3 linked regions of the Oryza sativa Japonica Group genome follow. The protein of the gene in region 2 interacts with the protein of the main gene of each other region in a pairwise test. Links are inferred from orthologs where the notes say so. Each region holds a gene or a part of one and is shown on either strand. Other genes may lie near its edges. The genes, in order: GRF1-interacting factor 1, transcription factor PCF5 and protein LATERAL ORGAN BOUNDARIES.

The links.
Region 1: the proteins of transcription factor PCF5 (region 2) and GRF1-interacting factor 1 interact in binary tests that used the Arabidopsis thaliana proteins (3 or more experiments, as listed by UniProt). The link is inferred for Oryza sativa Japonica Group from reciprocal best matches to the Arabidopsis thaliana genes TCP4 and AN3.
Region 3: the proteins of transcription factor PCF5 (region 2) and protein LATERAL ORGAN BOUNDARIES interact in binary tests that used the Arabidopsis thaliana proteins (3 or more experiments, as listed by UniProt). The link is inferred for Oryza sativa Japonica Group from reciprocal best matches to the Arabidopsis thaliana genes TCP4 and LOB.

Annotation. Positions count from the first base shown.
Region 1 is NC_089037.1:30,928,830-30,932,581, reverse strand, and holds the start of GRF1-interacting factor 1, read left to right. Parts: upstream 1-1,435; 5' UTR 1,436-1,670; coding exon 1,671-1,760; intron 1,761-3,277; coding exon 3,278-3,354; intron 3,355-3,752. UniProt on the Arabidopsis thaliana protein: Transcription coactivator that plays a role in the regulation of cell expansion in leaf and cotyledons tissues.
Region 2 is NC_089035.1:6,231,253-6,235,004, reverse strand, and holds transcription factor PCF5, read left to right. Parts: upstream 1-823; 5' UTR 824-1,157; intron 1,158-1,164; exon of another isoform or gene 1,165-1,264; 5' UTR 1,265-1,598; coding exon 1,599-2,975; 3' UTR 2,976-3,077; intron 3,078-3,191; 3' UTR 3,192-3,645; downstream 3,646-3,752. UniProt on the Arabidopsis thaliana protein: Transcription factor playing a pivotal role in the control of morphogenesis of shoot organs by negatively regulating the expression of boundary-specific genes such as CUC genes, probably through the induction of miRNA (e.g. miR164).
Region 3 is NC_089035.1:3,563,945-3,567,633, reverse strand, and holds the start of protein LATERAL ORGAN BOUNDARIES, read left to right. Parts: upstream 1-855; 5' UTR 856-1,058; intron 1,059-1,142; 5' UTR 1,143-1,344; intron 1,345-3,689. UniProt on the Arabidopsis thaliana protein: Not known; ectopic expression of LOB leads to alterations in the size and shape of leaves and floral organs and causes male and female sterility.

The sequences.
Region 1 (3,752 bases), on a different chromosome or scaffold from region 2:
CGCTTTTCAAATTGCTAAACGGTGTTTTTTTTTTTAAAAAAAGTTTCTATACGAAAGTTACTTAAAAAATCATATTATTGATCTATTTTTGAAAAAAACAAATATTTAATAATTCACGCACTAATGAACCGCTCCGTTTTCCGTGTATACTGTGTGGGTTGGTATCACGTACTTCCGAACACAGCCTAACACAGCTGCCATCCATGTCCTGGCTACTGAGCAAGAGTTGCCTCAGCCCTGTTGAAACTTGAAAGGCAACCATGCTCTCTTCAAAGCAATGAAAAAGTCTCATGGGGACATGGATGTAGCCGAGCTACAGGCAAAGCTTCGACATGGCGAGTCCGAGCTAAGCTACTCATCACTTCAAAGTAATGTGAATGCTTTAACAGTTTTGCTCCGTTTGAAAATGCAGTTGTCTCTATGAAATTAAGTCTAATGGTTAAATATAACTTTTAGGGGTGTTTTGCTTCTGCACCTTACCTTTTTTTTTCAGTGCCAAAATATTAGCCAATTTTGGCCCTACTACTTTTGCGGTAGGGTATAAGTTATATTGACCATGATTAGCTTATTAATGTAAAGTTAAAGTAATTGTTAATCCTTATCCTGGTCAAGTAACTGCAACAAGATAAAAATGAAATCGATGTGGCCCAATTTATACGATCTTAAAGAATGTAACTCCAGTTTATCTCTGGAGATTTTCTCTCTCAAAAAAAAGTTTATCTCTGGAGAGAGCCAGCGAGGAAAAAAATTGATGAATTGCAGGCAAGACTCTATAAGGAGGATCCATTTCGCGATAACTTTGGGTGTTTACCACCATCAACAACTCTGATTAGAATGGAATTAACGTTCTTCTTTTCTTTTTCCCAGTTGTATTTTGTATTTCCATGTGTCGTATGGAGGCTACATATATAGCACATCTGTACAAACAAGCCACGCCGTCTCCTGTTGGAATTCTTCTCTGTACTCGTGACCGACGAGTTCTTCGACACAGAATCTGCTGTTGTTTTAGTACTCCAAAAATCTATCCTGCCCACAAGCTCATCAGATCATGCAGTCCCTGAACTTGAAAATTGCCGTGTTGACAACCATTGTTAAACCCTGAACATGACATATCAACCCAGACATAAATACTCTTCGAGCGTGCAGCCATAATTTTGTTTTATTTTTTTTTGACAACCTGCCTATACGAATCAGGCTTTATTAATTTTATCTTTTTTCCCCTATGTGTGGTGGTGGTCCCAATTCTTTAATGTGCAGGTGTCCAAGTATAGAAAGTTACTGAGCTTTTATGGTAGGTGTGGTAAAAAGTTGCATGGTAAAAACGATCCACTAAATTAAACTTTGTCACCAAAACTGAAGAAAAAAAAACTGAAGAGAAAATCTCTGCAACTGGTTCACCCTCTTTTTAAAGAACTCCACTCCAAAACCAACGAGCAAAGCGAAAGGAGGAGACGGCCAACCAAAACCCTCCTCCTCTCATCATCGCCCAAAACCCCCCAAGAAACCAGAAAGAAACCTCTCCTGCTCCTCTCTCTCTCTTTTCACCGGCAGAGGGAGAGGAAGTGGAGAGACAGAGAGGAAGAAGCAGAGGGAAGAAAAGAAAAGGAAGGAGTTTGCTGCAGCTGTGAGGAGTAGAGGAGGGGGGAAGGGTATAAAGGTTTTTGATTGGAATGCAGCAGCAACACCTGATGCAGATGAACCAGGGCATGATGGGGGGATATGCTTCCCCTACCACCGTCACCACTGATCTCATTCAGCAGGTCATGATCCCCTCTCCCCAAAATCTCTCCCATTTTATCGTCTGTTTGTCTCTCTCTTGTTTTTCATTTCTTGCTTTTTGTTTTTGGTTCCGTGATCTCTCTTCTTTCCTTTCTTTTTTTTTCTCTTGAATCATTTGTATCAAACTCTTTTTTTCTTCGTTCTTGATTCGTTGGTTGGTCTGTGAGTATCTGAAAAAGAAGTTTTATCTTTTCTTGTGTTCCCCTTTTCTATTTCATTATGCGTTTATGCTCATGCTATCTTTCTTGTTTGCTCGTGGTTGTTGATCCTCTTTTGTATCCATTGAAACATCTGGCAAAAAAAAATCTGAAATGAACTAAAGTTTCCCTTCTTTTTTTTTTCTCTGTTCTTACATCTTGTTCATCTGATCTATTTCGCTTTCTCCGTTAATTCCCAACATGATTTGTCGAACAACACGTTTTTTCCATCATATTTAAAAAATAGTTCTAGGGCAGCCTTTTTTTTCTTTATTTTGTTTGGTCAAATAGAAAGGGCATGATCCTCTTATATTCATGATGTTGATTTATCTTCTCGTCCTCTAGTCTTCTCCCTGTATTCTCATGTCTTCAAACATGGTCCCTCACATCTGATTTCCTCTGCAGTTCAAACTGTTGCTGTCCATTTGGTCCTTTTTTTTTCTTTTCTTTTGCTCTTGCTGCTCACATAGTCACATGATGCGGTGATTTTTTACATATCCTTTATCCCCCTCTCCATCTAAATCCTATTTTTAGCTTGTTTTGGTTGGTGACTTGTGCCAATGGTCGTGTCTCCCCCACCACTCGTATTTGGCAACTAGTAAACATGCCAGACCTGTTCCCTGCATCTGCCATTGCAGACCACCAATAAATCTTGGCCCCCTTTCCATGTAAATGTATCATGTGCAATCGTCCAACAAAAGGGAGCAAGAAATGCTGTGAGATTTACATAAATATCTCCTTTCCATATCCGAAATCCAATTTGCAATCTTTGATTTAAAAAATATTTCTTTTTTCTTCAGAAGGACATACCATACAAGATCTGGTCCTTGTTCATGTTGGTGAGAAACTGGGAATGTAGGTTGGCTTGTGCTGTACTAGAATGCCACAGGTTGCAGTTTTGACTGTTAGACCCCTAAAAGATGTGAGCTTTATGGCTAAAGGCCGATATAACAACCAGGGGCCCGGTCTGCTTGGCCTATTCTTTGATAACCTGCTTGCATGCTATCGTGCCAGTTCATGATTGGTCCTCAGTTTGAGATGATAGGCTGGCAATCAGATCTTGTGTGGTTCTGCTCTAGAATCAGGACGCCAATCTCCAGTCTAGTACTTCATTGGTGCTAGGAGTATATTCATGCATATGTCATTGGTGATAAACTGATAGTACCAACCAAATCTTGTGCAATGAACTGCAATATATTCAAGGCATGCATGCAGTACTATCTTTTGTTAGTATTGATGATAAAGACTTTGAAATGTAATGACGTATTAACATGCAAAGATTCAACCTTGAAACTGTGCAGTATCTGGATGAGAACAAGCAGCTGATCCTGGCCATCCTTGACAACCAGAACAATGGGAAGGTGGAAGAGTGCGCTCGGTGAGTTTGATCTTGATCTCCCTGTTATCATGGAGTGCTGTGAAAACTCTGAAGTTGCTGTTCTTTCTGTAGCTTTTGCTCTATCAGAGATGTCTTGTTTGGTAATATAGTCTTTAGGCTTTGTTAACTGCAAAAGGAATGTCTAGCTTTTGTTCAGTCAGGGTTCAAGAAACTAGAATCTACTAGGAGTATTCTGGATAAATCAACTAATCAAGTAGTACAATGTTCTTTGGTGAAATATTCCATTAGGTGTTACAGGTGATTCCACAATGATGGTTGAATTAGTGTTAACTCATGGGCAGGTTAATACTATACCTAGCACCCTCCTGTTAAATAAATTATTAGTGAGTGGCTTGTACTAGAAAAGTACTGTTCCTTGTTCAGTGCACTATTTCTGT
Region 2 (3,752 bases):
GTATGTAGATGTGCCAATGAGGGGTGTTTCCTTCTATCTTTTTTGAACAAATCTATGGGCACCATCTCGGTCCCTCGACCCGTTATGTTTTTGGCATCAAATGAACTAAAAATAGCTTGATCTTATTTCCATGCAATGGATCAAACTTGGGGCAAGTTTGGACAATGACGCCACATAAAACCCTCTTTTAGCAAGGTGGGGCTACAAATAAAACACACCATCAATCTATAAACAAGTATCTCAGGGGAAAGGTCTCACATTTGAAACTAATATTGCAACTCTCGACTTTCCAAAAAGGAAAATCATTAACCATTGGCATATACCCTTGAAAAAGCTCCAGTTGCCATCTTACTTGCCTATGCAACTGCCCAACTACAAGAATTATAGTACAAGCACTCTCTAAGAATACCACAAGTTAGCTTCTGAAGAGCATAGATATTCATGTCATGACAAACATGTCTACTGTACAACAAAAAAGAAAAATCGGCTAAGTAGATCACTCCACAATTGTGCGAGTAGATACTAGCGGTTACATATACACGAACGTATATATAAACATAGTTAAAATTGCTATATATTACCATAAAGCTATCGAGATGCGCTTAATTCCTTATCCATGGAGACTAGGGTGTGTGCCTCCGGTTTTTATTTTTTTTCCCAAAGGCACGTACACGTGTGTGTGTTCGAGTTTCATCGCGATTCGATCGTTGTCTACTGTTTTTTAATAATACAACAGATGTCCTAATCATCCACGCATGCATAACCCACAATCCCCCAGCATCATCCATCCCTTCCCAATTCCCAAATCACCACCTCTCTTCATCACTTGGGCTCCAGCCTCCTGCAGCCCCAGCCAAGCTAAGGTAAGCTCCATCTGCTTCTGATACACACACTCACACACAAAGCAGCAGCCAGCATCAGCAGCAGCAGTGTGAAGCAAAAATCTCTATCTCTCTCTCTCCTCACTAAAGCACAAATCCTACTCTTATCATCCTGTCTTCTTGCCTCCCTTCTGCCTCCTGCTCACCAAGCTTCCCACACAAACCCAACAAGAGAGTGAGAGAGGAGCAAAAGCTTTGGCTGGCCGTCCCCCCTGTTAAAATGTGATGTCCAATCCATGGGATTGCGTCTAGTTTAGTCCCCCACTCCTCTCCTGGGTCAGTCCCTCCCTGGCCACCACCTCTTCTTCTTGCAGCCTCCTCCTCCTCCGGGGCCTTCTTCTTGTTGATTCTTTTGATGGTTTTTGTGTTTCTTGTCGACCTAGTTATGGGATCCGGCGAGGTGGATGGACGCGCATTGGAGCAGCAACAGTAGCGGCGGGGAAGAAGGCGGCGGGGGATCTGGATCCGAGGCACCACCACCACCGGGTCACCCACGGCGGCGACGGCGGCGGCGTAGGAGGAGGAGGAAGCGGGGGACAGGAGGAGGCAGATGAGCAGCAGCAGCAGCAGCACGACCACCACCGGCTTCTCCAGCTCCACCACCACCAGGGTGTGCAGCAGGACCAAGAACCGCCGCCTGTTCCCGTCTTCCACCTCCAGCCGGCGTCCGTGAGGCAGCTGTCGGGCTCCTCCGCCGAGTATGCCCTTCTCTCGCCCATGGGCGACGCCGGCGGCCACTCCCACCACCACCAACACGGCTTCCAGCCTCAGCTCCTCTCCTTCGGTGGCGTCGGCCACCACCACCACCTGCATCAGTTCACGGCGCAGCCACAGCCCCCCGCCGCGTCCCACACTCGGGGTCGTGGAGGTGGAGGTGAGATTGTCCCCGCGACGACAACTCCACGGTCGAGGGGCGGAGGCGGCGGCGGCGGCGGGGAGATCGTGGCGGTGCAGGGCGGGCACATTGTGCGGTCGACAGGGCGGAAGGACCGGCACAGCAAGGTCTGCACGGCGCGCGGGCCGCGCGACCGCCGCGTGCGGCTGTCGGCGCACACCGCCATCCAGTTCTACGACGTGCAGGACCGGCTGGGCTACGACCGCCCGAGCAAGGCGGTGGACTGGCTCATCAAGAACGCCAAGGACGCCATCGACAAGCTCGACGTGCTGCCGGCGTGGCAGCCCACTGCCGGCGGCGCAGGCGCGGGCAATGCCGCCGCGCCGCCGTCCTCCTCGACCCACCCCGACTCCGCCGAGAACTCCGACGACCAGGCGCAGGCCATCACCGTCGCGCACACCGCCTTCGACTTCGCCGGCGGGGGCAGCGGCGGGACCAGCTTCCTCCCGCCGTCGCTCGACTCGGACGCCATAGCCGACACGATCAAGTCCTTCTTCCCCATGGGTGGCACCGCAGGCGGGGAGGCATCGTCGTCCACCACGGCGGCGCAGTCGTCGGCCATGGGTTTCCAGAGCTACACGCCTGACCTCCTGTCCCGCACCGGCAGCCAGAGCCAGGAGCTCCGGCTGTCGCTGCAGTCCTTACCAGACCCCATGTTCCACCACCAGCAACATCGCCATGGCGGCGGCGGCGGCGGCGGCAATGGCACCACGCAGCAGGCGCTCTTCTCCGGCGCCGCCAATTACTCGTTCGGCGGCGGAGCCATGTGGGCCACCGAGCAGCAGGCGCAGAACCAGCGCATGCTGCCGTGGAACGTGCCCGACCCCGGCGGCGGCGGCGGCGCCGCCTACCTGTTCAACGTGTCGCAGCAAGCGGCGCATATGCAGGCGGCGGCTGCGGCGCTGGGTGGCCACCAGAGCCAGTTCTTCTTCCAGAGGGGACCCCTTCAGTCCAGTAACCAGCCCTCCGAGCGAGGATGGCCGGAGACCGTCGAAGCCGACAACCAGATGAGCCACCACCAAGGAGGGCTGAGCCCCTCCGTGTCGGCGGCCATCGGTTTTGCCGCTCCCGGCATCGGCTTCTCCGGCTTCCGCCTCCCCGCGAGGATACAGGGCGACGAGGAGCACAACGGCGGCGGCGGCGGCAATGGCGACAAGCCGCCGCCGCCGTCGTCTGTCTCCTCGGCTTCTCACCACTGACCGCAGCAGTGGCGAGCAGATGACTTCACCACCACCAATCCACCATGAGCAAACACCACACCATGTACCAGACTATCAGCTAGCTCCTCCACTTCCATCACGGTGAGAAAAAAAAACCGAGAATTCTCATGGCTAACCTGCATTAGTTCAGAATTTTTCTCGTGTTAGTTAGCTGATCAATCTTGTGCTGCTGGTTTTGGTGTTCTTGACATGCAGGAATTGTCGATTGCATTCGGGAGGAGCAAAGTTTGGAGGTAGCACAAGTGCACTACTACTGATGCTACTACATATCGGTTGGTTGGTTGGTTGGTTTTCCATCGATCTCTTCTGCTGCTGCGCATGTCATTGGTTTTTGTTTCAAGAATTCACTCGGAGCTTCTTAGAATTAGGCTTGTGAGAATGCAGCAACACGATGGCAAGCTTTAGCTTAGCTTAGCAAGCCTCTGTGTCTGTTGGCTGTTGCGTTGCGCTAGGTGTAGTTGATCGATGTAGGTTCGAGCTTGCTTTGCTTTGTTTTGATTTTTACTCTTTTGTTGCTGATGCATGGACATGCTTTTGCTTCCTCCTGTGGGTTCAGGAGCAGTTGCTACTAGACCGATGTTGTTCTCAAAACTGATAAGTGGGATGGTGATGGATTGGGAGAGGAGCCTATCTTTCATCTTTTCCAAAACTTGTGGCCTCTTTTCTTTATACTGTAGTGTAGGCTGGAAACAGATGGTGCATGCATGCCTGTGCAACAAATCTCCCCCGCCCTAAGTGTTTTTCTTTATGCAATCC
Region 3 (3,689 bases), about 2.7 Mb from region 2:
CCTCATTCACAAACGGCACACCGAGGGTTATGCATGCATTAGCTCCCATGATTGAGTACCCCACCAAATGCTGTTATGAATTAGCTTCCATGATAGAACTGAAAAGGTTATTAGAAATATTGGAACTCTTCCTCAAAAGTGAATTTGGAATAAACAATGTCAAATCCAAGATGTGTAGAGCTAGCGAGGTGGATGTCACTTTTGCACGTAGCTAGGTAGCTTCCATGTAGCCCACAACTATTGTACGGACGAATGAAATAAAAAAAAATCAAACGGAATCAATATCTTGCATTGCCTTGTTCTATTGCTGTTCATATATCGCTTGCCCCTTCCACTCACTGAAGAGCCTTTGGCAGATTAGCGCAGTGTTAACTGTTAAACTTTATATGCTTTCATCTAGATTCTCCTATCTTAATGGATCTCTCCCTTTAGATATTGTGATCAGATATGCTGGCAAGTGTAGCCGCGCGGCTACCTACAAACATCTTTGCTGAGATGTTTCCATGAAAGAACCAATTAGATGTCTCAAGAAACATTTGCTTTGCTACCCTTTTTGAGTATGATATCTATGTTGATGTACTGGCTAACAGATTCTGCCAAGCAATCTAATTATCAAGGCCATGTCCTTTTACCATCTATTTGTGTTATCCCTTAAATATAACATGGCCAATCATAGCTCCTGGGCCCAAAGTGCAACCAATCACATGGTTCCAAGACCAATAGCTAGATCACTGAAAGGTGCAATAATTTATTATTGTGTGGCTATCGAGGGTTGGGGAATTAATTTATGTACTGTGTAATGGTGATCATGATCTAGCAGGATTTTTTAATCAGTGTAATGAATTGAGTTTGTAGGTAAATGTCTCGGATGTGACCTGGTTTCTTCTTCTAAAAGTGAAGAGGAACAGGGAATGGAGCTCGTTTGCCACGGTATGAATTGTTCATTGGAAAAAAGGGAAAAAATTCAAGTGCTTACCGGCAATATGGACAACTGACAAATAAGAAGATCAACAGTTTGACTACAGCCTTAAGACACATAAAGATGTGGTGGGCTCAATGTAAGCAGGGGGTTGTTTCTTCTTTTTTTTTTCCCGCGAGTAATCAAGCAGTCCTGATATATGGGCCACTTAAACTTCTGATAGGTCACCCAAAATATCTGTTGAAGCAGATTATTGATTAGCTCTGGCTCACACTGGCCAGAATCCAGATGCAGCCAACTTAGGCTGTTCTATCGTCAAGATGGCATCAGATGATCATGTCATGGGATGATCAGCTATTCCCAACCAAACCAAAGCATCTCCACAACTGTGTTTCGACAATCAACGTGCGGCCCTGCAGGCGCAGGTCAGTGATGCTATATTTGACAACTATTATCTGCATGATTCATCACCACACTGGCAAAATCACTCTCTGTATATATGATATCTTGTGATGGAGAGGAATTTTGAAGGAAAGGAAGCAGCATGGTGAACAATGCCCATAGAATAGAGCTAGAGAGAGGTAGCCCCATGGCCTGTCCAGACGACAGACAGGATTCTCTATCGACAAGTACGGTTCCATGCACGCCCGTGCACAACCCCCTCCACCCTTGCACCCCCACCCACCCCACTGCGTGCCTCTTGTGACCAGAATTCAAAGGGACTGTGCCCTCCCACAGTGCAGGGGTAACCTTGCATCTGTACTACCTGGACCCATCAGCCCAATATATTTCCCCCACAACCATAGGTAGATATATCTTCTTTCACATATGCATACTAGGACTGTTCACTCCCATTGTTCTTTGCCTCACCACCTCAACCTCTCAAAGGTATTGGACATGGCCCACGTACCTAAGCTACTCACACCCCGGCCCCCATGGACCACCATGAACTACTCTAGAGCTTTTCAAACTCAGGCTACCAAATGTTTCGGCTGTTGCTGAAATCATTTTTAAACTTCGAGCAGTTTGGATTATGTTTAGATCTCATCCTAAAATTTTTCACCTTGTCACATTTAACGTTTGAACATCTGCATGAAGTATTAAATATAGGCTAAGAAATAACTAATTGTACAGATTGCGACTAATTTGCGAGATAAATCTTTTAAGCCTAATTGCTATATGATTTGACAATGTGGTGTTACAGTAAATATTTGCTAATGACATTAATTAGGCTTAATAAATTCGTCTTGTGGTTTACTGACGGATTCTGTAATTAGTTTTTTTATTAGTGCCCGAACACCCCATGCGACACTCTATATAATATCTGATGTGACACGCTAAAACTTTTACACCCCTGGATCTAAACACTACCTGTATATACTGAATGAGAATGACTGAAATCTCCTGCTCTAATTTGGTTTTCTCAAAAAGAAAAGTTCATATGCATATAGTGGAGCCTCATAGAGAGCTAAACATGCATGCCTATGATCTTTGGGCGGCTACCAACTGTAGTACTAACTGCTAGTTCCACTGAAAGATTTGTGATTTATTTGGTGACGATTGCGAGTTTTAGCACTTGGATGCAAGTTGCAAGGGGGTGAAGCTCAAAAGGACAGTCATGCTAGGTCGTGAACTTGGGAAAAGGCTGCTCCCATAGTCCCATGCATGCATCCAGACACAAAATGTAGGGACTAGCTAGCCCTAGCTAGCTTAGCTCAGTATGGCTCTTCGGCCCCCTCCCTTAGGTCCAACGATTTGATGGGCTGTGGATTTCAGGATCGAATTAATGTTGGTGTACTAGGAAAGTGGCTTGCACACGAGATCGTGTTCTTTGGGGGGATCTTAGGAAGATCTTATTATGGTTTCTTACGGTGCATCTTATTCATCAAATCATATGATAACATGACATCCGGTATATATGTAGTGCATGCAAGGTGAGATGGTATCAAAAATCTTGTGTGATAACACGCCATAATCAATTCAGCCTTCTTTTTTCTTTTCATTCCTTGCATTTATGTGTCATGCGGCGCCATTTACATGTGGAGACGAAGGTAGCTGAAGCAGTGAAGCTACATGCCTACATGAATAGTAGAGCTATATATCCTAATGGTGGAGGCTGCTTCTCTTAGGGGTTGCTGTTACGGTAAGACAGCTTAGTGATGTGAATCTCTATATATAGAGAAATACTTGTCTGTTGTTGCCTTCTCGGAGACTGTGATCTTTCTTTCTTGAGAAACTTTTATATGCTTGCTGTTGACTACTCAAATTGACCTGACTTTTCTTTTGCGCGTACATATGTTGAATTGACCAAACTATATAGTTGTAGGGTGCTGTACTGCTGCAAACACTGTTGGTACACAGTATGCTTGATTACTGCTTTAGCTAGTAGTATGTGTGTGTATATATAGTTTCAATTATTAAACATGTCCAGAAGTTAACTATAGATATACTCCTACTGGAGTACGCCATATTATTCACAGTAGTTCTTTTTTGTTCTTCCTCACTTTTTTGGGAAGAGTATGGACGCATTACAATATGAGAACTGTCAATTGTTCTCTGTGATATTGTTGGCCAGACTGGGTTATGTGTACTTTTAGCAACTTTTTGGCTTTTAGAGCTTTGCGGCAAGTAGTACTAATTACATGTTGCGATGGTATGTAGATCATGATGATGCTAATTGTGCATAAGCTTCATCTACGCACCTATAAATGACAAAATCTAAGCCAAAGATATAGCATGCTTCACCAGTAGTCATCATGGAGAACCATAT